Linked DNA regions of Macaca fascicularis. The protein of the gene in region 2 binds, or shares a complex with, the protein of the main gene of each other region. Links are inferred from orthologs where the notes say so. Each region holds a gene or a part of one and is shown on either strand. Other genes may lie near its edges.

Evidence for each region.
Region 1: POLR3D (region 2) and POLR3F share a complex: the UniProt entries of both Homo sapiens proteins name them as parts of the RNA polymerase III complex. The link is inferred for Macaca fascicularis from reciprocal best matches to the Homo sapiens genes POLR3D and POLR3F.
Region 3: POLR3D (region 2) and POLR3G share a complex: the UniProt entries of both Homo sapiens proteins name them as parts of the RNA polymerase III complex. The link is inferred for Macaca fascicularis from reciprocal best matches to the Homo sapiens genes POLR3D and POLR3G.

What each region holds. Positions count from the first base shown.
Region 1 is NC_088384.1:68,816,134-68,826,194, reverse strand, and holds the start of POLR3F (DNA-directed RNA polymerase III subunit RPC6), read left to right. Parts: upstream 1-5,180; 5' UTR 5,181-5,290; coding exon 5,291-5,352; intron 5,353-6,759; coding exon 6,760-6,877; intron 6,878-10,061. Other genes in the region: DZANK1 (double zinc ribbon and ankyrin repeat-containing protein 1), read right to left, coding at 2,674-2,782. UniProt on the Homo sapiens protein: DNA-dependent RNA polymerase catalyzes the transcription of DNA into RNA using the four ribonucleoside triphosphates as substrates.
Region 2 is NC_088382.1:25,311,959-25,322,088, forward strand, and holds the start of POLR3D (DNA-directed RNA polymerase III subunit RPC4), read left to right. Parts: upstream 1-5,401; 5' UTR 5,402-5,486; exon of another isoform or gene 5,487-5,523; intron 5,524-5,749; 5' UTR 5,750-5,754; coding exon 5,755-5,919; intron 5,920-7,518; coding exon 7,519-7,562; intron 7,563-8,147; coding exon 8,148-8,299; intron 8,300-8,443; coding exon 8,444-8,568; intron 8,569-8,772; coding exon 8,773-8,941; intron 8,942-9,336; coding exon 9,337-9,599; intron 9,600-10,130. UniProt on the Homo sapiens protein: DNA-dependent RNA polymerase catalyzes the transcription of DNA into RNA using the four ribonucleoside triphosphates as substrates.
Region 3 is NC_088380.1:94,472,621-94,482,559, forward strand, and holds the start of POLR3G (DNA-directed RNA polymerase III subunit RPC7), read left to right. Parts: upstream 1-4,709; 5' UTR 4,710-4,837; intron 4,838-5,185; coding exon of another isoform or gene 5,186-5,639; exon of another isoform or gene 5,640-5,735; intron 5,736-5,842; exon of another isoform or gene 5,843-6,366; intron 6,367-6,858; exon of another isoform or gene 6,859-6,908; intron 6,909-8,768; exon of another isoform or gene 8,769-8,841; intron 8,842-9,939. Other genes in the region: acyl-coenzyme A thioesterase MBLAC2, read right to left, coding at 5,186-5,639. UniProt on the Homo sapiens protein: DNA-dependent RNA polymerase catalyzes the transcription of DNA into RNA using the four ribonucleoside triphosphates as substrates.

The DNA.
Region 1 (10,061 bases), on a different chromosome or scaffold from region 2:
GGAGGTCATAATCCTAAGTGAATTAACACAGGAACAGAAAACAAAATACCATGTGTTCTCACTTATAAATGGGAGCTAAACACCAGGTACAAATGGACATAAAGATGGTAACAATAGGCTGGGCGTGGTGGCTCATGCCTGTAATCCCAGCACTTTGGGAGGCCGAGGCAGGCGGATCAGGAGATCAGGAGATCGAGACCATCCTGGCTAACACAGTGAAACCCCGTCTCTACTAAAAATACAAAAAATTAGCCGGGCGTGGTGGCGGGGGCCTGTAGTCCCAGCTACTTGGGAGGCTGAGGCAGGAGAATGGCGTGAACCCGGGAGGCGGAGCTTGCAGTGAGCCGAGATCGCGCCACTGCACTCCAGCCTGGGCAACAGAGCGAGAGTCCGTTTCAAAAAAAAAAAAAAAAGATGGTAACAATAGACATTGGGGACTACTAGAGGGTGGGGAGGGCTGAAAACCTACAACGATGCTCACTGCCTGGGTCATGGGCCCAAACCTCAGCACCACACAATATACCCAGGTAGGAAACCTGCACATGTACCCCCAGTTCTAAAATAAAAGTTGTAAAAGAAAAAACAAAACAAGGTCTTTTCATGTCATTTGCCCATTTTTCTTTTGGGTTATTGTTCTTTTTGTTACTGAATTGTGAAAACTATTTATTTGATATTTACCTATCAGGGAATTTTGATACCCTATCATTCATATCATCTTTTGTCAATAATCACCCAACTTCTCCTAAGAATTATGGGCACATATATTAAAATGTTTAATTTTGTTTGACAGTTTAAAAAATTGTATCAGCTTTTAAGCTAAAGGAGAACACAGAAAATAATACATATTCTTAGAACTCTTGGTCTAAGCAGCATAGGGGCCATACCATAAATGCAGATAGTTTTGTTTTTTTTTTTTTTTTCTTTTTTTTTTTTTGAAACGGAGTCTCGCTCTGTCACCCAGGCTGGAGTGCGGTGGCCGGATCTCAGCTCACTGCAAGCTCCGCCTGCCGGGTTCACGCCATTCTCCTGCCTCAGCCTCCTGAGTAGCTGGGACTACAGGCGCCCGCCACCTCGCCCGGCTAGTTTTTTGTATTTTTTAGTAGAGACGGGGTTTCACCGTGTTAGCCAGGATGGTCTCGATCTCCTGACCTCGTGATCCGCCCGTCTCGGCCTCCCAAAGTGCTGGGATTACAGGCGTGAGCCACCGTGCCCGGCCTGCAGATAGTTTCTATATATTTCAGTTAGTAAAATACATAATTGGTTAAAAGACAAAAATTGTAATTTCAAAGTCTTTTTTACACAAATATTTGTTCATATGTTTTACCTATAAAACTTTCCTTCCTTATCATAATTATATATGTATATGTGTATATATGTATATGTGTACATATACACACATATTTAAGAATTTGAAGAATAAATGTTGGCAGGATATACATTCACTTCTTTCTTTCTTTCTCTCTTTCTTTCTTCTTTCAGATGGAGTCTTACTGTGTCACCCAGGCTGGAGTATAGTGGCGCAATCTCGGCTCACTGCAACCTCCGCCTCCTGGGTTCAAGCGATTTTCCTGCCTCAGCCTCCCGAGTAGCTGGGATTACAGGCATTGGCCACCATGCCCGGCTAATTTTGTATTTTTAGTAGAGACAGGGTTTCAGCATTTTGGTCAGGCTGGTCTCGAGCTCCTGACCTCAGGTGATCCACTCGCCTTGGCCTCCCAAAGTGCTGGGATTACAGGCATGAGCCACCTCACCCGGCCCTCACTGCTTTATTTCCATAATTACAGTTGAGATTTATTTTGGCATTACTACATGCCAAACCCTGTGCACCTCATACATACACGAACCTATTTATCCTCACAATGGCTCTAAGAAGTAGATATTAATACCCCTGTCTTACAGTGAGGAAACTGAGACTCGAAAAGACTAAGTAATGTACCCAAGGTCACTAGAAGTTGTCAAGGCAGGGATTAAGTCTCCAACCTGTCTGACTGGAAAGCCTGTATTAGCAGGTCAAATTTATTATGCCAGCTAAATACTGAGCATGTTGGAAAAGTTTGGGGAAGCACCGGGCAATTTTTCGTGGTGTTTTTTTTTTTTTTTTTTTTTTTTGAGACGGAGTCTCGTCTTGCTCTGTTGCCCAGGCTGGAGTGCACTGGTGTGATCTTGGCTCACTGCAAGTTCCACCGCCCAGGTTCAAGTGATTCTTCTGCCACGGCCTCCTGAGTTGCTGGGATTACAGGTGCCTACCACCATACCTGGCTAATAATTGTATTTTTAGTGAGACAGAGTTTTGCCATGTTGGCCAGGCTAGTCTTGAACTCCTGACCTCAGGTGATCCGCCTGCCTCGGCCTGCCAAAGTGCTGGGATTACAGGCATGAACCACTCTGTCCCTGGCCAGTACCAGGACATCTTACTTTGGCTAAGGTAAGTCAAGACATTGCTGAAACTATACAAATGAAAGGTTGGTCAACGCTAACCATTTTAATCTAAATGTATACCACTCTATAAACCATCAATGTACAGCACTGTTTCAAATTTTAGAAGTTTTACAAATTTCCCAAAGAGCTGAGCAAAGAGTGAGAAAGCATGCAATGAGATAAACCAGCAACCAGATAAACACAAGAAATATGACAATGTTATTTTAAACAATTTCACACATATGTGATTCTTACCTGATTTCATTTCCAAAAGTGTATTGTTATCAATTTCATGGTTAGCTTTTCCAGGCTGAGGCACTCGTAGTGGTATGATCTGAGGGACACACACTGAACCAGCAGTCATTTTCTCTCCTTATATATAGAAAAAAAATAAATTCCACTGTGCACTTGTAGCTGTACACGAAAGTTGAAGAGAAGCACTTAATTTAAATGCAGCAAAACTAGTTAAAACACAAGAGAATACTGTTAACATGGCACTACAAATATTCCCTTTTTAATTGAAATAATATTTACATTTTGGCTGTATTTGCTGTTGAAGTCTTGTGTGGGGTTTCGATTATCTAAATACCTCACTTCCGAGAAAGGAGCATGAATCACGAGACGGGGGAAAGAAGTTACTTTAAAAGGGTAAATTAAATGAGTAAGGAAAACAGAGACTATCACTAATGCTTTTACTTCAGTTCCCTCTAAATCATTCTCGCCTTTTCCTACCTTTGGTGTGTGTCACCTCTCTTGGCTTCAGGGCAAGTCGTCATACAAGGGGAACCAAAGTAACTCTGTGTGTACCACAAAACGTTAGTCAGAGCTAACTTTTTTGGGAAAGCTCCAAGTTCACAGCCTTGCCACTGTCACCAGAGCAGTTCTAGTATTTGAAAGCTGCAAAGACACTTTAGAAGGACTGCAGAGTATTAGTTGTTAGTGAAAAGGACATTTGCAAGAATATAAACAGTGACCAATAAACACAAGCCTCCCATTCCATCTACTGTATTTATAAATCCTGGTATTAATAATTAACTACCAGTATGAAAGCCTTACTAGTCTTTTTGGAGGTGAGGGTGGGGAGGAAGGCCGTCATAATTTTTAATGCACAGAAGGTTTCAGGGAGAAAAAACGCTCTCCTTAACACAGCAACCATTTACACCTCTGTATTGTCTTTTCAAATTTCATTAAGAATCCACAGATTTTGCTCAATTATAATCTACATATTCATTCCATTTTTCTAGTCTACTTCTTGCATTCTCACTGTATTATTTCGTTTTCCATGTACTTATTTATCCATTTGGGGCTGGCCTTTTAGGCTATTTCTAGTTTCTTTTTAGTTTTGCCTGTTGCTGTCCTTTTTTTTTTTTTTTTTTTTTTTTGAGACAGAGTCTCTCTCTGTCGTCCAGGCTGGAGTGCAGGGGCGCGATCTCGACTCACTGCAAGCTCCGCCTCCCGGGTTCACGCCATTCTCCTGCCTCAGCCTCCCGAGTAGCTGGGACTACAGGCGCCCGCCACCACGCCCGGCTAATTTTTTTTTTGTTTGTTTTTGGTTTTTTTTTTGTTTTTTTTTTTTTGTATTTTTAGTATAGACGGGGTTTCACCGTGCTAGCCAGGATGGTCTCGATTTCCTTACCTCGTGATCCGCCCGCCTCGGCTTCCCAAAGTGCTGGGATTACAGGCGTGAGCCACCGTGCCCGGCCGCCTGCTGCAGTTCTAATAATGCTGATCTGACATCTCTGCAGTTTGAGCTTTGTCACAGACTGTATTTTCAAAAGTGGGGTAACTAATTTAAGGGGTGAACTTAATGCCTCGTTGGATAGTTCCAGATCGAGGGCCAAGAATATAAACTGCAGATACTGACAGCACAGCAATAGCTCCTACAGGAGTGTAGCTGAACTTGAGACTTGCCTATAGTCGCATTTCCATTCAAGTGAAAGGCAGATAAAATAAAAATAGTTGAAAAATTATTTCTAAATAAAAAATATGTAGGAGAGGAGGTAATTCGCGAGCATCAACTAGCAGCTGCCCTTACGAAGCTGGGGTGGCCAGTGGGCCCCACGCAAAGGGAATCAAGAAAAAGGCGGATCCGCCAGGCCCAAATGGCAACGTGCAGCAATCCACAGGATCCCCAGACCCCTCAACTCTCCCAAAGTGGACCGTCCCCTCGCAACCCGGATCCGGAACCCCGTTTGGTTGTCCCCGCCCGTCAGGGGCTGCCAAGGACACCTGCATCCTTTCGGCTGGAGTAAGGAAAGCTCTTCCCCTCCTCTAGCCGCCCTCCTCTTCCTCTAACCGGGGGACCCGTGATCGGGACCCCTAATCCATCTCTGCAGTTCCCAACCCAGTCGCCGGCCTCTCACCGCCTCTTGCCTCCTCCTTCGCCGCCGCTCGGGTTACCACAGACGCTGCGAGCCGTGCCCCGCCCACTTGGAGCTGGGCAGATGATTGGCGGCAAGGCAGCTTCTTAGCAACTAGCCCCGCCCCTGCCGCCTCGCCGGGAGCCTGGAACCCGCCTTGAGCTCCTTTCCCTGGGCTTTCCCATAGGCATCTAAGAATATTCCTTTACAGAGTTGCAAAGTGCTAAAAGTTGGCTTCCCAACTCAGAATGAAGGAACCAAGCTTGTGCGTCCGATGGGCATTGACATTCTGAAAAACAAGGATAAGAAGCTGTAGCGGCGCCTGTAAGTGGACCGGAGCAGGCGCGACTTGGCCACCTCCCGCCGAAAAGCAAGGAAGGACCGCTGCGACACGAGGAAAAAAGCCCCTCGTTCTCCGCTAAGCGCTATCCTTCACTGGTTCCCAGGGTTCTCCCGCTTGCTACCCGGCCGCTCCGTGCATCTTTTCCCCAGGCGTCAGGAACTGCTCCCTCATGGCGGAGGTGAAGGTGAAGGTGCAGCCGCCCGACGCGGATCCGGTCGAAATAGAAAACAGGTAAACCAAACAGGGAAACCAGTGAGACTCCGGCTTGGGACTCCATCAGGCGGCCAGCATTTGGGCAGCCGGACCCCTTCACCCGGATCCCTCGGGAGTGGCCGGATCGGGTTGGGTGAGCACGCGGGAAAACGATTGCGAGGTTCTGGATCCACTTCTAACCTCCCATCCTGGGAGAGCAGAACTCAAGAAGTTCAAAATGGGCTTGACAGCTTGCAACTTTGTGTAGCTGACTCGCTTTGCCCTGATACTTTTGGGGAAGTTGTGATGATGCGCTGCCTTCCTACTTTGACGTGATCATTGCTTTGAGAGGAGACCCTCAGCTTTCCTTCCCTTTAGAACACTTGTGAATGCTTGTTCTGATCCAGGATCGCTCTTGTCACGAAGGGAACGTCTATGTCAAAACGTTTAGGCGGAGTTAGGGCGCAGTTGGTGATTAGGAAGCAACATTAAGTCAGGTAGTTTCAGTGCAGTATTGAACTCAAGACTTTTAGGATACCCAAAGCCTCTGCCAGTTTTATTTTTATTTGTTTATTTGTTTGTTTGTTTTTGAGACGGAGTCTCGCTCTGTTTCCAGGCTGGAGTGCAGTGGCAGGATCTCGGCTCACTGTAAGCTCCGCCTCCCTGCAACGTCCGCCTCCTGGGTTCAAGCGATTCCCCTGCCTCAGCCTCCCGAGTAGCTGGGACTACAGGCGCGCACCACCACGCCCAGCTAATTTTTTGTAGTTTAGTAGAGACGGTGTTTCACCATGTTGTCCAGGATGGTCTCGATCTCCTGACCTCGTGATCCGCCCGCCTTGGCCTTCCAAAGTGCTGGGATTACAGGCGTGAGCCACCACCGCCTTTTATATTTTTTACCGAGGCACTGCCACTCTTAGATTATCACGTACTTTTAAAAGACGTAACTTTCTCAAACTGTTAGGAATAATAATTTGTTGATGTTGACTAGGTGAAGATTTTGACCTACTTTGTTTGGTAGATATAATTCCCAAAACAGGCCCCATTTTGGTGAATTATCATAAATTTTGGCTTCCCACCAGAAACGTCTGCATTTGCCTCCTGCTTGCAGATTTATGGCTTAACTTTGTCATACTTATTACACCTGAGAAAATTGAAGTCTCAGCTTTAATATTATTTCTGTGATTTCATTAGACTTTTGCTCTAATTTAAAGTTATTAGTGAGGAAAAGAAATATTCTTCTTAAATAACAATAATACTGTAATCATGTATTTAGAAATCATCTTCTTCAGTGTCTAAAATGCTTTGATCCAAAACCATCGCAGAAACCCAGATTGTCTTCCAAATGTGAAAAAGGCACAATTTCAAACTATTTTACTTGTGTTTTTACCCCTACTGTCTCTTGAAACAGGTAACCATGAAGGATAACATTAATACCCTTGTTTCTAGGATTATAGAATTATGTCACCAGTTCCCTCATGGAATCACAGACCAAGTAATTCAGAATGAAATGCCTCATATAGAGGCCCAGCAGCGGGCAGTAGCCATCAATAGGTTGTTGTCTATGGTAAGGTGAATCTAACTATTTTGCATAATTACTGATACGCTGATTATCATTGGTTTTTATTATGTAGTTGTGATGGTTAATTTCATGTCAACTTGACTAAGATACAGGATTCCTAGATATCTAGTTAAACATTTTATTGGAGTGTCTGTGAGGGTGTTTCTGGAAGAGGTTAGCATTTTGAATTGGTGAACCCAGTAAAGTAGATGTGGGTCCAGTGTGGGTGAGCATCATCCAATCCATTCAGGGCCTAAATAGAACAAAGTGGCAGAAGAAGATTGAATTCACTCTTTGAATTCAAAGAGTGAATTCAATCTTGATCTGGGCTATGGATCTTGTGCCCTCAGCACTCCTGGTTCTCAGACCTTCAGACTTGGACTGGCATCTACACCCTGAGCTCTCTGCTCTCAGCCCTTTGATCTCCAACACTAACTTTCCTGGGTCTCCAGCTAGCAGAGGGCAGATTATGGGACTCCTCAGCCTCCATAATCACAGAGCAAATACCTTCTGAGGAATCTTTCAAGAGAGAGATGTATCCTATTGGTTCTGTTTCTCTGGAGAACCCTAATACAGCAGTCATAAAACGAGAAAGTATGTTAGGTTTGACTGATAAGACTCTAAACCAGGAAATACCTCAAACTGCCTGAATTGAAAAAAGAAACAATTATGCATTATAAGACAAATGAAATAAATGTATTATGTTATAACTGTTGTATTATTAATTGCCACTGCCGTACATAGGTCTAGTCTGTTCTCACCTTCTGTTCACTTCCTACTACTGGTGTTGGACCATTTCCTATAAAATATACCACCCCCTTCCAACCCCCGATTTTTCTATGAGTTGTCACAGAGCCCAGTCATCAGGGTTTCATTCTCCACATTGTCACTGAGCATTTCAGGAGCAAGAATGAGTCCAGTTGAATGAAGAATGCTGGGCCTTGGGGAGGAAGTGCAGCCTTAGGCCCCGGTGATATCGCAATGAAATATATCATTGAAGCTATTCTCTAACTGTCCAGAAACAAACAAACAAGCAAGACTGTCTAAAAATCCCCTAGTGGTGCCGGATGCTCTAAATGTCTCCTTACTTTCCCTCATCATTAAAACATACTTTTCCTGAGAGCATTTCAGTTTGGCTTTAGTAGCAGTTAGGTTAAAGAGTTCTACGCCAAGGCGTCATCTGAATGACTGATTTGTTTTTTAAGTCCACTAGCCTTATTGGATCTCCAAGTGCTCTGGATGTGGAGATTTGGGGTCAGAGGAATCTTTTCTTAAACCTTTCCCATCAATTTTCTAGCTCAGGAGTTCGCAAACTTTTTCTATAAAGTGCCAGAGAGTATATGTTGTAGGCTTTGTGAGCCATATGATTTCTTTCACAACTACTCTGTCATTTTAGCAAGCAGCAGCCATGGATGATGATACATAAACAAATGGCTACAGCCATGTTCCAGCAAAACTTTAGTTATAAAAACAAGCTGTGGAGCAGATTGCTGACCCCTGTTCTAGCCCAAGGACAAAGGAATGTTGCTGATTTCTAGTTATTTCACTGTGGCGAAGGTCTTCAGCTCTAGGAAGCATAGAGGAAGGGATTCTGGGAGGTTGTAGCAGTGGAAAAATTCCTTTATTCCTCTGATCACCCTTTCAGCTCTTTCCTTCTGACTGAAAATCATCTTCAGCACCTCTGTTTTACCACCTCTGCCACCACCCACCCACTGCGAGTCCTATTGGCTATAGGTTGTATGTAGGCAGTAGTAGAGCTATCAAAGGATATTAAGAAATGAAGTGATAATTAATAAATCATGTAGTGTTTCTGATTTTAGCTCTTAAAAACAGTTCTTAAATTTGCTCTTCACACCCCCTCCATTTCTGTCCCTGGTACCGAACTATGTTCAGGCTCATGGCTTTTACCTCGACAGCTGCAGTAGCATCTTAACTGGCTTCCATGACTCCATCGGTCTCAGAGAAGCCAGCCTGATTTGGGATAACAGTCGTGAGCCACTGCCCCTTGCCCCCGATCCGTCTTAAATGCAGGTCTGACCAAGGCACTCTACCGCCTACAATTTGTTTATACTGGAGATTCAAGTTCAAACTCCTGGGTTTACCACACTGAGTCCCTGCATTGCTCACCAGCCTCATCTCCACCACTGTACCTCAAAAGTTAGGTTTCAGGAGGAACAGACTGTTTTTGGTTTCCTGCCACATCATGCTGTTTCACGCCTCGGGACTCATGTTGTTCCCCCTGCTTAGAAGGTTCTTCTTACTCTTTACAGATGACTAACTCTTTATTCTTTAAGACTCGGCTCTGCCATTGTCTCTAGGAAGTCACTGAACTGCCCCCTACCCCCAGGTTGGGCCACAGCCTGTTCTCCCAGTACCCAACCTGAGAGTTCAGGGTGGCTTTACTTACCTCTATCTTAATGCCAACCAGATGGGTACTGAAGTCAGCTGTGTGTTTCTCTTTTAGAATTCATGTTGTTCCCCCAAACACCTATCATAACACCTGGCACAGTACAAGTATTCAGTAAATATTCATAAGCTGGATAAATGACCAAATAGAGCCTCTGGATTGGGCCTTGTAGTCCTACTTTGCCACTTCATGGGGTCAGGGAACAGAGGGAGTAGGTCACCGTTCATTCAGTATGTAAATCCATTTCCAAGTCATGTCTGTTTTAAAACAAGGGAATGGGCCGGGCACAGTGGCTCATGCCAGTAATCCCAGCACTTTGGGAGGCTGAGGCAGGCAGATCACTTGAGGCCAGGAGTTCGAGACCAGCCTGGCCAACATGGCATAACCCTGTCTCTACTAAAAGACAAAAATCAGCCTGGCATGGTGGCATACACCTGTAATCCTACCTACTTGGGTGGCTGAGGCACGAGAATCGCATGAACCCAGGAGGCAGAGGTTGCAGTGAGCCAAGATCGTGCCACGGCACACCAGCCTGGATGACAGAGTGAGACTCTGTCTCTAAATAAATAAATAAATAAAACAAGGGAATGGCCTTTCTCTCAACTATGGCTTTCCAGTACTGCCAGAGCCTAGTGCTATAACTATCTGGGTTCTCTTAAGTTCGGACCCAAGGAAATTCAGGAGCATGACAGACATACTTTATTTTACTTCTGAATTGCTGTGTAAAAACAATACTACTCTAGTCCTTTTATTCATTGGCTGACATCAGTAAATGTCACTATT
Region 2 (10,130 bases):
GAAACCAGCTTACGCAACATAGTGAGATTCTGTCTCTACAAAATAATTAAAAATAGTTGGGTATGGTGGTGCACACCTGTAGTCCCAGCTACACAGGAGGCTGAGGCAGGAGGATCCCTTGAGCCCAGGAGTTGCAGGCTACAGTGAGCTATGACTGTAGCTGTGAGTAGCCACTGTACTCCAGCGTGGGCGACAGGGCAAGACCATGTTTCAGGGAAAAAAAAAAAAAAAAAAAGGCCGGACGCAGTGGCTCATGCCAGTAATCCCAGCACTTTGGGAGGCTGAGGCAGGTGGATCACCTGTGGTCAGGAGTTTGAGACCAGCCTGGTCAACATTGTGAAACCCCACCTCTATTAAAAACACAAAAAGTAGCCGGACATAGTGGCGCGCCCCTGTAATCCCAGCTACTTGGGAGGCTGAGGCAGGAGAATTGCTTGAACCTGGGAGGCAGAGGTTGCAAGTGAGTCGAGATCATGCCATTGCACTAGAGCCTGGGCAACAGAGCAAGACTCCGTCTCAAAAAAAAAAAATTCACAAGAACAGATTTTTGACAGAATCTGTTATACCTTTTAAACCTGCATTTAGACCTAGAAGACTGTATTTGTTCTTAAGAGTTTGTTAAATTACAATGAGATTATTGTCTTTATTATGATATTTGTGAAAATAAAACGTTATTAACAACAAACTAAGCTCAGCTGGGCACAGTGGCTCACGTCTGTAATCCCAACACTTTGGGAGGTAGAGGTGGGCAGATGGATTGAGCCCAGGAGTTCAAGACTAGCCTGGGCAACATGGCAAAACCCCGACTCTACCAAAAATACAAAAACTAGCCAGTCTCATAACCTGGCCTCAAAATAAATAAATAGATAAAAATGTTAAAAGACCCCTGTGTAAAATATCCCAATTAAAAAAAATCTAAATGCGGCCAGGCTCGGTGGCTCAAGCCTGTAATCGCAGCACTTTGGGAGGCCGAGGCGGGCGGATCACGAGGTCAGAAGATCAAGACCATCCTGGCTAACATGGTGAAACCCTGTCTCTACTAAAAATACAAAAAATTAACCGGGCGTGGTGGTGCGCGCCTGTAGTCCCAGCTACTCGGAGGCTGAGGTGGGAGAATGGCGTAAACCCGGGAGGAGGAGCTTGCAGTGAGCCGAGATCGTGCCACTGCACTCCAGCCTGGGTAACACAGCGAGACTCCATCTCAAAAAAAAAAAAAAAAAAAAAAAAAAAAAAATCTAAATGCATAGAAAAATGACTTCAAGTATATAAAACATTTGATGGGATAATAATGGATAGCTTTTTCTTCTCAGTGCTTTTTAAATTTTTCCAAATTTTCTAAAATGAATGAGTGTACTTTTAAAAATACAAAATAAACCAGGAAAGCTACTACTTGGTGAACTTCAAAGCCCAACAGAATGAAATCAAAGCTATTTCACCCAGTGCTCTAATTAGAAACTAAGGGCTGTTGCGTGTAGCTCTGTAGGGAACAGGAAAAGGGTATAGGTTTGGTTTGATTATTGTAAAATCAACATGCAGAAAGAAGTTGAAAAAGGTCTGTTTAGAAAGCAACATAACAAAATATTAGTAAATTGGCAAACAAAGTTTTAAATTTTAAGAGCCAATACTCAAAAGGATGTGGACAAAAAATTATATATTCTCTTTTTTGTTTGTTTTTTTGAGACAAGGTCTCCTCTGTCTCCCAGGCTGGAGTGCAGTAGCACAATCAGAGCTCACTGCAGCCTCCACCTCCTGGGATCAATCGATCCTCTCACCTCAGCCTCCCAAGTAGCTGGCACTACAGGTGGGTGCCACTACACCCTAAAATTATATATTCTTATGTACTACCTGTGTGTGCGTGTGTGTGTGTGTGTGTGTGTACGGAGTCAATAAATTTCAAAGTCAATAAAAGTTCTTTTTTTTTTTTGAAACGGAGTCTTCCTCTGTCTCCCAGGCTGGAGTGCAGTGGCGCGATCTCGGCTCACTGCAACATCCGCCTCCCGGATTCAACCTATTCTCCTGCCTCAGCCTCCCAAGTAGCTGGGATTACAGGCGCATGCCACCACGCCCAGCTAATTTTTGTATTTTTAGTAGAGATGGGTTTTCACCATGTTGGTCAGGCTAGTCTCGAACTCCTGACCTTGTGATCCGCCCACCTTGGCCTCCCAAAGTGCTGGGATTATAGGTGTGAGCCACTGCGCCCAGCCTGTTTGTTTGTTTGTTTTCAGATGGAGTTTTGCTCTTGTCGCCCAGGCTGGAGTGCAATGGCGCAATCTTGGCGCACTGCAATCTCCTTCTCCTGGGTTCAAGCGATTCTCCGGCCTCAACCTCCCAAGTAGCTGGGATTACTGATGCCCGCCACCACGCCTGGCTAATTTTTGTACTTTTAGTAGAGACAGGGTTTCACCATGTTGGCCAGGCTGGTCTCGAACTCCTGACCTCAGGTGATCCACCCGCCTCAGCCTCCCAAAGTGCTGGCATTACAGGCATGAGCCACCACACCTAGCCAATAAAAGTTCTTTAAATTCCAACAGTAGAGCAAACTTGGTATTCAGATTCCTTCCAGGCTTTGACAATGAGTGCACATGAGGGCCACTGCTGTGAGCCCAGGATGGGTGTGACTAGGCACCGGTTGACCCATTGTGGCTGTTCCAAGGCTGCCCACATAGCCTCACCCAGGACTCCATCAAAAGCCCACAATGTGTGTATATGTGTATACATTTGATTATTGTATATACACACATTCTTAGTGTTGATGTATTTCAGCACAATCTTTTTTATTTTTTTTTGTGGAGTTTGTTTGTTTTTGGTGTTTTGAGACAGACTGTCCCCCTGTCGCCCAGGTTGGAGTGCAACGGCGTGATCTCAGCTCACTGCAACCTCCGCCTCCCCGGTTCAAGCGATTCTCGTGCCTCAGCCTCCCAAGTAGCTGGAATTATGGGCATGCACCATCACACCCAGCTAATTTTTGTATTTTTAGTAGAGACGGGGTTTCGCCATGTTGGCCAGCTGGTCTGGAACTCCTGACCTCAAGTGATCTGCCCACCTTGGCCTTCCAAAGTGCTGGGATTACTGGTGTGAGCCACCAGGCCCGGCCGCACAATCCTTTTTGAAAGCAATTTAGCAATATGAATGAAGAACCATAAAATGTGCACGTACAAAATGGTACAGCCACTGTGGAAAACAGCTTGGCAGTTTCTTGTAAAACTAAGATACAACTACCACATGACCCAATGATTGCACTCATGGGCAATTATCCCAGAGAAATAAAAACTTATGTTCACACAAAATCTTGTACATGTATTTTCACAGCAGCTTTATCCATAATAACCCCACACGGAAAACCACCCAGATGTCTTTCAGAGGGTGAATGGTTAAACAAACCATGAATACTTTGCAATAAAAGGGAACGAACTATTGATACACGCAACAACTTGGATGATCTCCGGGGAACAATGCCGAGTGAAAAAAGCAATCCCAAGAAGTCACATACTGTACGATTCCATTTATATAACACTTTTGAAATACCAAAATGGCAGAAATGGAAAACAGATTAGTGGTGGGAGGAGGTGGGGGGAGGGAAGTGTGGCTATAAAAGGGCAGCTAGAGGAATCCTTGTGATGGTAACTTCTTGTATCTTGACTGCACCAATGTCAATATTCTGATGGCAAGATGTTACTACTGGGGGAAAATGAATAAACAATACTTGGGATCTCTCTACATGGTTTCTTATAACTCTACATGAATCTACCATGTTCTCAAAATAAAAAGTTTAATTTAAAAAATGTTTTTAGAGATAGGGTCTTGCTGTGTCACCCAGGCTGGAGTGTGGGGGCTGGATCGTAGCTCACTGCAATCTCGAACTGCTGAGCCTTTCAAGCGATCCTCCCACCTCCGCCTCCCAAAGCACTGGGATTACAAGCGTAAGCCACCAAGCCCATCCCAAATATTTACTTTAAAAAAAAAAAAAAAAAAAAAAAAAACAAAAAACAAAAAAAAAACCCACCTTCTTTTGGCCAGTTATCCCAGGACGGGAAATCTATCCCAGGAATATAATCCGAAAGAAAACAAAAACCAAAACAAAATTGAAAAAAAGCACGTCGAATGTACCAGATATTCACTACAGCATTATTTAAAACAGGGAAAAAAGAAACAATCAGGGAAATACTTAAATCATGATACAGCCACTGGAGAACTATGCAGTCTTTGATGCCGTAACAGAGAAATGTTATTTGAAAAAGCAGGATACAGGCCAGGCGCAGTGGCTGACGCCTGTAACCCCAGCACATTGGGAGGCCGAGGCGGGTGGCATCACTCGAGCTCAGGAGTTCAAGACCAGTGTGAGCAACACAGTGAAATCCCGTCTCTACCAAAAATACAAAAAAAAAAAAAAAAGAAAAAAGAAAAAGAAAAAGAAAAAAGAAAAAAAAAATTAGCCGGGCGTGGTGGCATGTATTTAGAGTCCCAGCTACTTGGGAGGCTGAGGTGGGAGCATGGCTTGAGGCTGGGAGGCAGAGGTTGCAGTATGCAGAAACCTCGCCTCAAAAAAAGAAAAGAAAAAGGATACGAAATTGTGATACAACTCTGTGAAGACTACTAGACACATTACAAAATTTTTAATAGTAGTACTCTACGTGGCATTCTGGTAGAAACGATTTCCTTTCCTCAAACTCCCCGTAATAATGTTTTTATACGGTCTGGGGGGATGGGAGATAACATTAAACGACACTTTTTATATCACAAACGCTGGAGTCAATAAAAGTTCTTTAAATTCCTCCAGCAGTAGAGCAAACTTGGTATTCCGATTCTGTCCAGGCTTTGACCAAGAGCGCACCCGAGGGCCACCGCCTTCGTGATCCCAAGCGGGTGTGACTGGGCACCAGTTGGTCCACTGCGGCTGTTCCAACGCTGCCCTCACAGCCTCACCCCAGGACTCCACCAGGAGCACAGGGAAGGGGTCCCCGAGAGTGGGCGAGGTCGCTGCCCGGAGGTAGTGACCACTCCAAGGTCACCATGGAGAACCCGCAGACAGGGCTCGGCACGGCCCAAGACTCCCCGACTCTAAGTCCAGGTCTCGCTCTCTGTGCCGCGCCCCTCGTCCCATCCCGAGCAGCTACCCCCAAGCTCCCAGGGGCTCCGCCGAGGCGAAGCCTCACATTGCGGCTTGGCGGCCGACAAGACCCGCGACCCTGATCTCGGCACCTCCACGCCACCGCCCGGGGGCCAAGACCCCCGAGCACCGCCACATAGCGTAGCCCAGACCGGTTCCCTCATCCTTTTTCGCCCTCTCAACCCAGCTTTTCCCGACTCCGGGAAGAACCGGGAAGAGAAGGCGGAGGGGAGCGAAGCGCCGCCTGATAAATACTGTGGCCCAGTCCCGCCCCCGAAACGTCACATCCGGCCCGTGCCAAGATGGCAGCGCCCAGGCGGTGCCACGCAGACTTCCGCCCGGTGCGGAGACCTAAAGCTGGCAGCGGGTCGCGTCGCAGGTGAAGTGGTGACGCGCGGTGTGGAGCCGCGGCCCGGGTGCGTCCCTGCCTGGTTCCTGGGCGGGGTTCCTGGAGAGAGGGCGTGTCGCGAGCCAAAGGCTCTCACCTGGGTGGTCCCGGGAATCTCGCCACGTGGGAGGGGAGGAGCTGAGAGGCCACTGGAGGGACGCACCGACTGGGGGACCGGAAAGCAAGGGGGTTGGGTTCCGCCAGGGTCCGCGTGTCAGTCCACTCTGGTAATCTCGTCCCCCCTTCTCTCCCAGGCAACATGTCGGAAGGAAACGCCGCCGGCGAGCCCAGCACTCCGGGAGGGCCCCGACCCCTCCTGACTGGGGCCCGGGGGCTCATCGGGCGGCGGCCGGCGCCTCCCCTCACCCCCGGCCGCCTTCCCTCCATCCGTTCCAGGGACCTCACCCTCGGGGGAGTCAAGAAGGTATCCAACGGCGCGTTTCTAAAGAAACTCAACTACCTTGAATTCCAAGCCCCGGCATTCAACTGATGTTTGTGTAGGGCCTACTATGTGTCAGGAGTGTCGTTGGGCCTCAAGCCTACCCCTCTTTAAATTCTAGGGAGCCTGTCCTATCTTCAAATCTAGGTACTGAGTACAAAATGTTGAAATGAGTCCCAGAGGTGGTTGAAAGACAGAGAATCCTAATAAGTTAAAGTCGTTCAAAAGTAATTTGAACAGTGTTTATTTACTCTTATTGTGTGTTTGGACATTTTTAAGAAACCCATGAAAGCCAGGCAGGCATAAACTTCACAGTCTTAGAGCGTTCAGAATTCACCATCTCAGTGTGCAAACTTGTTATCTAGAGTATCATGAATCCTAGGCATGGCATTCGAGGCTCTGTGGGCTGTCCCATGTGTATATGACTGTGGATGTCAAGAGTAGCCCAGAAAGGGGTGGTGTCAGGATGACAGAAGAATAAAGCAGGTTTTTGGGTTTTTTTTTTGAGACGAAGTCTCGCCCTAGTCCCCCAAACTGGAGTGTAATGGCATGATCTTGGCTCACTGCAACCTCTGCCTCCCGGGTTTGAGTGATTCTCCTGCCTCAGCCTCCTGAGTAGCTGGGATTACAGGTGCCCGCCACCATGTCCAGCTGATTTTTGTATTTTTAGTAGACACAAGGTTTCACCATGTTGGCCAGGCTGTTCTTGAACCCCTGACCTTGTGATCCACCCACCTCGGCCTCCCAAAGTGCTGGGATTACAGGCGTGAGCCACCGCTCCCGGCCAAATAAAGCAGTTTTTTTTGTTTGTTTGTTTTGTTTTTAACAGAGTCTCTTTCTGTCGCCCAGGCTGTAGCACAGAGGCACCATCTCAGCTCACTGCAACCTCCACCTCCTGGGGTTCAAGCGATTCTCCTCCCTCAGCCTCCCGAGTAGCTGGGATTACAGAGGCCTGCCACCGCACCTGGCTAATTTTTGTAGTTTTTAGTAGAGACGGGGTTTCACCATCTTGGCCAGGCTGATCTTGAACTCCTGACCTCATGATCCACCTGCCTTGGCCTCCCAAAGTGCTGCGATTACAGGCGTGAGCCACCACGCCTGGACATAAAGCAGTCTTTAGAAACCTAACTTTGCCTTGGAAAATATGGAAAAACACTGCCAACAGTGATTGAGAGTATTGGCAGATCTGTGGCCTTCCCTACTTAGGCCTTGCTGCTAGAGATGTTCCCCCATGATACTGACTGGTCTCTATAGCAGTTTGAAGATAAGAGGTGAGACCAGAGAAATTCCTTTGCTTTTAGAAGTCCCAGAGGACCTTCTTTCAGGATCTTCTTTCCTAAGGCTGCTGGTTAAAAATGGTTTTTGGTGCCCCTTTCTTCTATGCATAACTCCACTGCCACCACACCATGACGTTCCTCCTTTTCAGGCACACGTGTATCTAGAAAACTGACAGCACTGTGGAATGTGCCAAAGAGAGTCATGGTGGCCGTGGTCTGTAGAAGATGCCCGTTGGGAGTTTTTATTTTCCTCTGTACTTTGGGATCAGGACCTAACACATCAGTGACTCCTGTATTTTGCTTTCAGAAAACCTTCACCCCAAATATCATCAGTCGGAAGATCAAGGAAGAGTAAGTAGCTAGTCCTTCTGAATACTTGCCCCTTATTTACTTGCTCTGAATTTGGGGCTTTGGGGAGAAATAAGTAGGTTTGTGGCTCCAAAATTTAAATTTATATCTTTAGTTCTTTTCACTAGTGATTTTCAACCCTGGCTCCTAGGTGATTCTAATGTTTAAGCTTTAAAAAAAAAAAATACTGGTGTCTAGGGTTCCATCTCTAGAAATTGTGATTTAACTTGTTGGCAGTAGAATGGAGTGATTCTCTTTGATGGCCCGAGTTGAGAGCCAATAGTTTAAACAAAGATGTATCACGCTTTCCCTGAAGTTCCTTTGCATTTCTGCCTTCCTGCTTTCAGTCCCAATGCAAACAAAAATCTACATTTTTGGACAAGAACGTAAAGTAAAGCAAACTGAAAAAATCCTGCCTCATCAAGGAAGTGAGAAAAGTGCTAGAATTAGGATTGGATTCTGCTTCTCATGGTGTAATTATTGGCTCAAACTCTCCGCTGTCTTGGAGTGAAGTGGTATGGGAGAGTAAGGCCAGTTTTTGGAGACACAGTGAGTGAGTGGTTTCCCTTAATCCATTCTTTTTTCCAGGCCCAAGGAAGAAGTAACTGTCAAGAAGGAGAAGCGTGAAAGGGACAGAGACCGACAGCGAGAGGGGCATGGACGAGGACGAGGCCGCCCAGAAGTGATCCAGTCTCACTCCATCTTTGAGCAGGGCCCAGCCGAAATGATGAAGAAAAAAGGTACAAGGAAGGAATCAGTGAATTTCAGTTCAGACTGCCCAAGAGAAGGGCGAGAGCAGTGGAATTTCCCCGCTCCCAGTTCAGTTTTCCTTGCTGTTGGCATCTTCCTTATTGATCCCTAGTGACCTGGGTGATTTCCCACAGGGAACTGGGATAAGACAGTGGATGTATCAGACATGGGACCTTCTCATATCATCAACATCAAAAAAGAGAAGAGAGAGACAGACGAAGAAACTAAACAGATCTTGCGCATGCTGGAGAAGGACGATGTGGGTACCAGGAGGCTGTGGGGAAGGGGCTTCCTTGTGGCTGTAGAACAGGGCTTCTGGGGAGCCAGGTGAGGGGCAGAAGAGCTCACTGATGTCCTGGAATCCTGGGGAGCAGCAGGAATCTTTGGTTAGAAAGGGACTAAAGCAGACTTTGATCCAGGTGCATGTGCTAGCAGGCTGGATGACCCAGACTCTTTTTGGCAGTTCCTCGATGACCCCGGGCTGAGGAACGACACTCGAAATATGCCTGTGCAGCTGCCGCTGGCTCACTCGGGGTGGCTTTTTAAGGAAGAAAATGACGAACCAGATGTTAAACCTTGGCTGACTGGCCCCAAGGAAGAAGACATGGAGGTGGACGTACCTGCTGTGAAAGGTACTCTTGTCAGTTAACTTCTCATCTCCAATTCCATGGCTGCTCCCCAGGAATCCTGTGCATCAGGCATCCTTTGCATGTGTCCCTGACTGCTGCTCATGAGCAGGTCCTCCCATCCCGGCTGTAAGATACATGAGCTGAACAAAGATGCCCGATTCTCCCTCGCAGAGGGTTCCTGTGTTGGCATGGAGCGGTGGGCCCAGCCTCAGATGTCGCTTTTTAGATAAGTCAGGCGAGATTTAAACATGTTGTCTCTTGCCCCTCTCTATAACCAGTGCCCCCTTCCCACTCCCTGGCTGAGTGACAGTGGAGCAGACGGGGGCAAAGGGCTGGTAACAGTGAGCTAGTATGGAGGGTGGTCATGTGATAGCATTCCATTTCTATCACCCGGGCAGTGAAAGAGGAGCCACGAGATGAGGAAGAGGCCAAGATGAAGGCTCCCCCCAAAGCAGCCAGGAAGACCCCAGGCCTCCCAAAGGATGTATCCGTGGCAGAGCTGCTCAGGGAGCTGAGCCTCACCAAGGAGGAGGAACTGCTGTTTCTGCAGCTGCCAGACACCCTCCCTGGCCAGCCGCCCACCCAGGACATCAAGCCCATCAAGACAGAGGTGCAGGGTGAGGATGGACAGATGATGCTCATCAAGCAGGAGAAAGACCGGGTATGCTCAGGCAGAGGCCTGTGGGATAGAGTCGGGGACTAAGAGGGGAAGTGGTGACCTGTAGTGGGAAGCAAAGCCGTGCCACCCTGGCTGAAATGGGACAATAATGGGTGGTTTTTCTTGATGCCTGCAAGAGCCATGGGTCTTTGTACCTCCAACCCCAATTGTGTGTGTGTGTTGCAGGGATGTGTGTTCACTTCTTATAAGGAAATATTTCAAAGACATACAAATGAGAGAACAGGCCGGGCGCGGTGGCTCAAGCCTGTAATCCCAGCACTTTGGGAGGCTGGGACGGGCGGATCACGAGGTCAGGAGATTGAGACCATCCTGGCTAACACGGTGAAACCCCGTCTCTACTAAAAAAAAACAAAAAACTAGCCGGGTGAGGTGGTGGGTGCCTGTAGTCCCAGCTACTCGGGAGGCTGAGGCAGGAGAATGGCGGGAACCCGGGAGGCGGAGCTTGCAGTGAGCTGAGATCCGGCCACAGTACTCCAGCCTGGGTGACAGAGCGAGACTCCGTCTCAAAAAAAA
Region 3 (9,939 bases), on a different chromosome or scaffold from region 2:
CCTTATTTTGAAGGGGCATATCCTAGTAGCTTTCTAAGTAACAGTATGTGGGAAATAATTTGAGAACTTGATTAATAGTGGGATATCGAATTCTAGATTGGAAATCATTTTCATTCAAATTGGAAGGCAAGATTTCTTCTTTGCTAGCTCCAAAACCATTCTATTCTGAGTACATAACTCTTTTGTTTACATTTCTTAAAGCTTGTAAAATCTTTGATCTCAGTGTTCTGAAATTTTACAGTAACATGCTTAGGTTTGGATGTGTTTTCATCTATTGTCCTGTGAATTCTGTGGGCCCTTTCAATCTGGAAAATTTATATCCTTTAATTGTGTGATATATTACTGGATTACCTCTACCTCTACTATTTTTTTTTTTCTTTTTCTTTGAGACAGAATCTAGCTCTGTTGCCCAGGCTGGAGTGCAATGGCACGATCTCGGCTCACTGCAACCTCTCCCTCCAGGGTTCAGGGGATTCTCCTGTCTCAGCCTCCCGAGTAGCTGGGATTAGAGGCATGCACTATCACACCCAGCTGATTTTTGTATTTTTAGTAGAGACGGGGTTTCACCATCTTGGCCAGGCTGGTCTTGAACTCCCGACCTCAGATGATCCGCCCTCCTCGGCCTTTCAAATTGTTGGGATTACAGGCATGAGTCACTGCACTCGGCTGCCCTACTATTTCTTTTCTTTCACTGTCTCTGTCCTCTCTCTGCATCCATTATTCTAAGGCTGGATTTTCCAAACTGATCCTCCTACTTATTTTAGTCTTTTTCTCTCCTGGTTTCTATTTTCCTTTATTGCTCTTTAGTAAGTTTTTCAACTTTATCTTCCAGACCTACTGCTGCGTAATTTCTGATGTTTTAAATTCCGAGAGCTTTTTTTTTGGGTGAATATTGTTCTACTATTTATTTTTAAAGCATCCTTATTGACTCTTAGGTATCTTGAATGCAATAGCTTGTCTTATCCCCTGATGATATTGATGATAGTTCCCCCACTCTCGAATTGCTTTATGCTGTTTAATAGTTGATATCATATTAGAGAATTTTCTCAGATTTTTTTTTATAATGCTTGGTTGCCTATTTAAGAGTTCGGGGGCATGAGTAAAAATGGCTATTGTCAAAAAGACAGAAAATAACAGATGCTGACAAGGATGTGGAGAAAGGGGAATGCTTGTACATTGGTTAGTGGGGATGTAAATTAGTACAGCAACTATTGAAAATAGTATGAAGGTTCCTCAACAAACTGAAAATAGAACTACCGTATGACCCAGCAATCCCACTGCTGGGTATATACATCCAAAAGAAAGGAAATCAGAATACTAAAGAGATAACTGCATTCCCATGTTTATTGCAGCAATATTTACAATAGCCAAGATGTGGAATCAACCTAACTGTCCATCAGCAGATGAATGGATAAAGACAGTGTGGGACAATATACACAGTGGAGTTATTCACTCATAAAAAATAATGAAATTCTGTCACTTGCAGCAACACGGATGGAACTGGAGGGCATTACCGTAAGTGAAATAAGTCAGGCACAAAATGACAAATACCTCATGTTCACACTCATATGTGGGAGGTAGTGCTAGTATGGTGGTTACCAGAGGCTGGAAAGGGTGGGGGAAGGGAATGAAGAGATTGGTTAATGGGTACAAAAATACAATTAGATAAAATAAATAAGTTCCAGCGTTTGATAGACTAGAATTAATAAGGATTTATTGTATGTTTAAAAATAGCTAGAAGATTTGGAATGTTTCTGACACAAAGAAATCATAAACGTTTGAAGGGTGGTGGATATTCTAAATAACCTGATTTGATCATTACATTGTATGCATTTATCAAAATATCACACGTACCTCACAAGTAATTACAACTATTAGGTATCAATTTAAAAAAAGAAGGGGGGACAAGAAGGCTGCTTGCAGCACATGCATGGGGCCTGGTGACTGAGGCTTCACAGTAGAGAAAGAGGCCAGGATTTCTTAGGTATTCCTCTACATTGGTATCTTCGTCTTTCCTCTAGGAGGCAGATTCCCTAGATAACATTTTTCTAATTTCCTACCTGGGTGGGGAAAGGCCTGGCTCTCATCCTTCTGGGAAACTAGTAGGACGGACACACACACACACAAACACACTCTTTCTTTCTCCTGTTTTCCATACTGAGCCCTTAAGCTCAATAGTAATTTGGCATCCTTCAATCAAGAAACTCCTTTGTTTTACTATCCCTAGAGAATAAACTAATTGGATGGGAGCGGGAGGGGCATTCACTAGAGTTTTAAGAGCTTCTTAAAAGGTTTTCAGGAAATTCTACTTACTCTTCTTCCCTTTGCCGCCACTGAGGTACTGCCTATTGCTAATTCCTGTGTTTTTTAAGGCTTCTGCGGTGGAAACTGAATTGGCTCTTAATTTCCCTTTGCTGGCATAGTATAAAACTGTTAACTTAGTCACCACATCTACTTTCTAGCATCCGAAACAGTTCCCCCAGCCAATGGGGATTTACATTTAAATCACGGTTTCTTTACAGTACATTAATGGTGCTTCGGAAGAGAGCCAAATTAGATGTGTCTGTTCAATTCACCACCTTCCTACAACCTGTTTTAGCCTCTGCAAATGACTTAAGTCCGCCTGAAATCACGCCTCTGAGATATCTTGGTGACACTGGGCATATGGTTTAAACATGTATGTAATAGGGATCACAATGCCAGAACTTTGTATCACTTTAGTGAAAAATGGGCAAAATGATGTTTGCCCACTCAAGAGGTATGTGCTATGTCAATTTAGGGTCTACTGCTATCTTAGAGGAAGATAACCATTTCACTATTAATAAGGCGAGTTGCTTTTTCATCCAGATAATGCACTGGATTATATGGCTATTCTCTCCTTGTCCCTCATTTACAAGTTGGCTTTTGGGTTAGAGATACAGTGCACAGATTTTTGCTTCTCCATGACAAGCAATCATCAATTCATTAAAGGAAATGTAATAAATGATTTCAGCTCCTTGCATTCTACCAAAGCAATGAATACTTTATGCTGTTCATGTGTGTAACTGTATACAAATTTTTAATACAAATATTTTATGTATCCTCCCAGGCATCTGGATTATGTTAACAGCAAGTTAGCAGGCCACATCATTCAGAAGATATGGGAAATTAATATTCTTGAGAAGAGAGGAAAGTAGACACTGCTTGAGAGGGTGGGGCATCCAGCTCCTCATGAAAAACAACTTTTGATAACACAGTACTATCACCTTCAAAGTGTCTGGTAAACATTAAGCTTTCTTTTCACCCTTTTAAAGGCTTAAAGTACCACACAAGTAGTTTGCAGGCCCCTTTCAGCTCCCAAAATGTTAGGATTCTACCATCAACTGGTAAACCTGGGTTCTAGTCCCAGCTCTTTCCGAGATGGGTGATGTGACCTCTTGCATGATACTCAGGCCTACATGGGTTCTTTCTTCATCTATAAAACAATCCCTATCATTCTTTCACCTTTGATTTCCCATTGCTGATACAGAATCAAAAGTCAATTTCAAAAGTAATTTATTCTTTTCAATAATTTAAGTATATTTTAATACTAATGTAAACATTTTTGGTCCGGGTGTCAGAATTTAGTCTGAATACCCATCAACTGCATGGAAATCTTACCCCTAAAAGTACCCATTTTTGTCAAGAAATACAGTAATTAGGTGTGACTTTAATGTAAATTAAAATTTAATGTACATGTACTTTCATCTCATATTGTCAGATAATGTAAGACTCCCATCTAAACCAGTTTTTTTTTTTTTTTTAATTTTAGATTTAAAACTTTAATGAAGACTTTTGTTGGGTGGGGTTGAGGTACAGAATCTTGCAATTTTTTTTTTTTTAGCACCGATAAGTAATACAATATAATACTGCAATTTTTAAAATATCTCAAATGAGTAAGATGTCATCTGTGAGATAAACTGATTTTTGTAAAATATTTCATTATTTGCCATATTGTTTGGTCATAAAGTGAGCTTCACTATACTGCAGCAACTGGCTTTTTCTACTATATAGAGGCATGTTTTAATAAACCAAATTGGTAATTAAAATAGTCTCACACTAAAGGAAAGAAGGGGCCTTTCACATTCTACTCAGAATTATCATCATATATTTATGAGGTAGGATTTATGTACGTTCTGCATGCCTTGATCTATTGTGCCTAGATTCATATCCTAGCTTTTATCATGATCTGTCTCAGGCAAGCCATTTAACTGGGAGGTCAGTGGCCTCACTTTAAATGTGTTGTGAGGATAAAATGAAATCAAAAGTATACTAAAAAGAAAATAGAAAACTAATATACCAAATATTGCTGATGTGGCAAATTAGCTCAATTATTTAAGTCCTTGCGTAGGGAAATGGGCTGAGGCCCTAATCTATTTATTTTCATCCCATGGATTTCTCTCTGAATTCCATATTTGTCTTTCACAGAGCCAAAGAGGACCATGGCTACCTATGCATTAGTCCACATAATTTACCTCTACCGAAAATTACTTCCTTATTGATCTTTCTCAGGCTTTGCTTTCAGCCGGACCAGATACCTGTCATAAAGTTATTCTACGTTTATGATTACTATTAAGCTTTTGCAATCGTGAGTCAACATCAAGAACAGAAACCTATCTGAGAGGTTTCCAATCGCATTAGCGGATTGGAATCGCTGCTCTGATGACTTTCTAAGGCTACAGGTGGGAACTGCCCATACCCGGTGGTGACCAAGCTGATGAAGTCTGCAGTTCTCAAAAGCACAGATCATGACATGCACTCCCCGTGGGGCGTCATTCCTTAAAAGTCTACTCACTACGAAAGCTCCTGGAAATGTCGGGTAGGTGCTTAGGGAAAGAATAAGAAATCCCTAGTCAGTCACAAGTCTCTGTAGTGTTACTACTACAGCCGACTCAGGAAACTGGCTAGGGAGGGGTAGTGCCGGCTTTCAAAGAAGTACTCAGAATTGCTATACGGTGCCAGAGCTGGCCTCTGGCAGGGAAGGCTGTGATGGCTTTGGCTCTGGTCAAGTAGGTTTTTACTTAGGGAAGGGTGTAACAGAAGTGGTTCCGCGAGGTGCCAAAATAATCCCCTTTATGGCCACGCAAGTCTGCAACATGCGGCACTCGGACAGTCTCTTCCCAATACCCTCCCTTAACGAGAGCGCGCGCCCGCGGGGGCCCATTACCATCCTGCAGGATGAGGGTGGGCTGCACCGCCTGTACCCGGAACTGTCTGGCCCTCCAGCCGGGGCTGGGCGCCCGCACCACCTCGCTATCGGAGAGCCAGGTCACGGTCTCAAAGTTGTCCCCGCGAGCCAGCGCCTCGGCCTCGGCGTGGTGCACGGCCACCCGGTCGAACTGGTAGAGGCCGCCGGAGTGGTCGAAGTGCACGTGGGTGGCCACGGCAAGCAGCGGCCGGCGCGCCGCGTCCTCTTTGGCCCCGCGGTCCTGCAAGAGGCCGGAAGAGTACAGGTACTCAGGGAGGCTGCGCAGCCCCAGGCCTGTATCGATCACCACGTCCTGCTCGGAGCCGCGCACCAGCCAGATGTTGGCACGGTTGCCCGACTCGTAGAAGCGTTCTTGAATCCAGAAAATACCATCGCCTAGAGACTTGTGGGCGTACCACTCGAGCGCCGACATGCTGGGCAGGGATGCAGCCAGGCGGGGTGAGTGTGGGCGTGCGAGTCTCCCACAGGCTGTGTAAACACCGGGCGCTGCGGCTGTGTGGAGCCGTCTGCCTGCAGCCAGGGAGGAGGCGTTGAGTGAGGCGGGGGCGGGGGATGCGGGAGTCAGAATAGGAGGAGGAAGGACGCAGACCGACGCTGCCAGTAGCGTGCGCTCTCGTACCCTCCCGCCAGGTCGGCAGCAAGCAGAGACTGCGCCACCAGCACGGGGGCGCAGGAGCTACAGCAGCCTCGGCAGGCGCACCACGAGGGAGCTGTAACGCAGGGACCACTGCAGCAGAATGGAGACTCAGGTGGTGACCCTTTCGCCACCCCGGGCGTGTGACAGCAGAGGCCCGGAGCAAGGGTGGGAAGCGCTAGGACCGCCCACCCACTGGCTCCCCACAGCGCGCACTCCTAGCTGGCGCGGAAAGTGTGGGGCCTAGCAGGTTGTACGGAGCCTACGGAGCCTGCCAAGGGCAAAAAAGCTCTTTGCCGAGGGGGTGGGGCCTGCCTAGGGAGTGGGCGGGGCTAGTTGGTAGGGCTCACGCCGCGGTCCTGGGGCCGCGTGGAGGGCGGTGCGAGTTTCTCCTGAGGTGGAACGAACGGCACTCGAGCGCCGGTGTTCTCTGCCAGCACCCCTTACTTGCCGGCCGGCGCTTCGGCTGCAGAGTTTTGCCCAAGCTTCGAGACTTAGGGAACAGGTAACCGAGGAAGCAATCGAAGACTTGGGAGGGGTGGTGAGGGTAGAGGGGAGTTAAAGGGGCATGTGGAGAAGTTGTGGGGGAAGTCGGGGGTAGAGATTCATTAAAGCGCCTCTGGGTTGAGGGGTGTTTGGAGATAGCTTGGTACCTCCCCTCCTTGTCCTGCTCCCTTCAGAATTTTTTTAAGTCGAATTTCCAGATCTTACCCAGTCTCCACTCCTGGGACTGTTTGCAGTGAGTTAGAAGGGTATTTATGCTCTTACTGATAGTAGGTTATTTTCCAAATCCAGTGACTTTATGATTTGTTGAGGCACTAGTCATTGCCGCAGATTGCAGCTAAGGACCGACTGTTCAGTATCTGTTTTCGTAACTGTTGGCATTTTATATCGTAGGGAAGGAAGTTGTTAATATGGTTTGTCTTTTCTTCTAAAAAATAAAATTCTGTATCCACCCTCTTTTTTTTTTTTTTTTGATTTGGTCTGTCCTTGGAAGAGAGAAACGCGAGTTGGTAGAAAGGCTCAAATAGAGAAAAGGAGCACCTGGTAAGGACGGGAAAAGTGAATAATGACTGGGTGTGGCCCCGCCAGCCTCTTAAATCATCCGCTCTGTTAACATCAGGTCACTGTCTCCACTCCCCACTTCCCAGCTATTGAAGCATCTATTTAGGTTTTTTTTTTGTTTTTTGTTTTTTTGAGACAGAGTCTCTATTGCCCAGGCTGGAGTGCAGTGGCGCAATCTCGTCTCACTGCAACCTCCGCCTCCTGGGTTCAAGCGATTCTCCTGCCTCAGCCTCCCAAGGAGCTGAGATTACAGGCGCCCGCCACCGCACCCGGCTAATTTTGTATTTTTAGTAGAAATGGGGTTTCACTATGTTGACCAGGCTGGTCTTGAACTCCTGACCTCAAGTGATCCGCCTGCCTCGGCCTCCCAAAGTGCTGGGATTACAGGCGTGAGCCACTGTACCCGGCCAGAAACATCTATTTAGGCTTAAGAAATTCCCTTGAGAACTTGACTAACCTCCCAACTTAGCCAGGAAAAATGATAAGGAGACTCATGAGACAGCATTACAAAAGAATTATGAAAACCGTTACTGTGACAACTACTAATAAGCCTTCATGGAAGGAGAGGTATACGCTCTTTTGCTACCCTCCTGAAGTCTTTGGTGGGCATGCAGCTTTTCTAAATACTTTGCTAATCTTGGTAGAGATTATTCGGTTACTCAGTTGGGGGCTATCCTTATGCACAAGTCGCTGAGCTAGATAATTCATGAGAGAATTGTGTAAAAAGGTCATAATCTGGATTCTCAGGAGTTTGAAGGAAGATAATGTCTGTACACAATTACTTGGAAGATAAAGCATTACAGGGTATGTACCACAGAGACAGTAAAAACTAGATTCAATAAGAATACAGATGGAAGGGATTCTTGAGGAGTGGCTTTTGAGCTGGCCTTAAAAGACTACTTTTAGGGCATTCTCAGCAGAGTAATATAGGGCCCTCAGTAGTCTGGGTACTTTTTCTCTAGGCAGAAGTGAGCCACTAGTGGTGAAATGGAGTGATATCTCTACCAGGCCATGAGCTCAGCAATAATTTGCACAATAATCATTGGCCTTTTGCCGGGCTTTGGTTAGTAATGGGGACATAAAAAGGAGAATAAGTTTCCAAGGAGACTTTCACACTTCCAGGTCCCTCTGCCTGCATCCCACATCTCACTGGATATCCTTTTTTAATTCTTTGCATGGCTCTTTGCTTTACTTTTGTCAGGCTTATGCTCAGATATCACTGAATAAGAGAAGACTTCTTCAGCCACCTTTTCCACAATAGCATCCATGTTTCCTGTCTTTATTTTTCTTCTTGTCACTTCCTGACTTTCCTATAAAATATATTTTGTCAGTTTCTTACCTCAGACTCTGAGCTTCATGAGAGGAGAGATTTTGTTTTGCTCACTACTGTATTCCCAATTCATAGAAGACAGCCTGATGATGAGGGTGCTTAATAAATACTTGATTGGATTGAAGAGCCTCCCTGGGAGACAGATAAGAGCTGACAGTTACAACATGATTGTAAAAAGGGCTTAAAAGCAGAGTAGTACTTGGGAAACAGAGAAGGGAGAGGCCTATCTCCATGTAGGGTGGAAGAAATTGTCATGGAGAAAGTGTTATTTGCATGGCATCTGAAAAGAACCTGGGGCTTAGGTGGATGTGGCAGGAAGGGCACTCCAGGCATGCACTGGTTGATTTGGCCACAGCGTGGGGTGCATGTAGTGAGAGGCAGAAAGACTCCAAAGCTCTTTTAAGGAGAGTCACATGTCAAGATTTGTATTCCAGAAAGATACCCTAGACTGCAGAGTGGATTGAAAGGGAGAGTCTGGCCACAGGAAGTTTATTTGTTCTGTTTTAGAGGTCCAGGTGAAAGATGAGAGGGTCTGAACTGAAGCAGAGGTGGAAGAAACGGAACATGGGAGAGAGAACAGAGCTGGTAAACCTCTACTTTTAGATGGGGGATTGGAAGTAGACAGGTCAGGATACCTATCCTGATTGTAGCAATTTAGGGGTCATTCATCAGGAATAATACTGTGACTTAACTTTCACTGCCTCCTCTAGCTTCTGTGTCTGCTTCTATCTGTTTGTGCATTTATTGATGGAGCTGATGTTGTTACTGGTGGAGGGTGTCCAGGTTCTTGGCATCTTGAACAAAGAATTGGACAAAATGCACAAAGCAAAGAAAGAATGAAGCAACGAAAGCAGATATTTGTTGAAAATGAAAGTACACTCCAGTGAAGGAGTGGGTGGAGCATATGGGCTCAAGGGTCCCCTTACAGAATTTGTGGGGGTTTAAATACCCTCTAGGGTTTCCATTTAGTTACTTGGTGTACACCATGTAAACGAAGAGGATGAAGTAAAGTTACAAAGTCATTTACTTGGCATATGCCCTATGAAGAGGGTATTTCCTGTCATAGCTGAAGTGTGAATCAGCCTTTTTGTTCCCTGCCTCCAGACCCTGTTTTCCTGCCTCAGTGTATACAAGGAACTGTGTAAAACGTGGAGGACAAGACATTTCGGTTACATCATAACTCATAAAATGTTAGAACTAGGAGGAATTTCAGAGATTAGCTCAGCATCTGCTAGGGGTTGTTTTTGTAGTTGATTAAAATTGACTTTTTTATTTCATCTCTTGGATGCTTAAACTATACCCATTTTTAAGCCTCTCAGAACAATTCTGAATAGGAATTTTCAGGAGACATCCTGAAATGGAAGGGGCAATGCTACTGATTTTACATTTTTAATTGAGTCTGTTTTGCAGTTATTAATTCACTTCATTGAATAAAGACCTCCCTGGGATTAAAAAAGTCTTCTAACCAGCCTAGACTATGCTTCCTGAAGTGTAATGCAAATGAAAGAATAGTGGAAAGGTTTTCTGAGGCCTTAAAGCTGTCCTGCTTTTGTTAGGAATTAGCTTTGCATCCTTAGGTAATCAAGTAACCGCTTAGGGTGTCACTTTCCTTTTCTGTAAAATGGGAGGTTTAATCTGCAGTGGTTCTTTTTTTTTTTGAGACAGAGTCTTGCTCTGTCACCC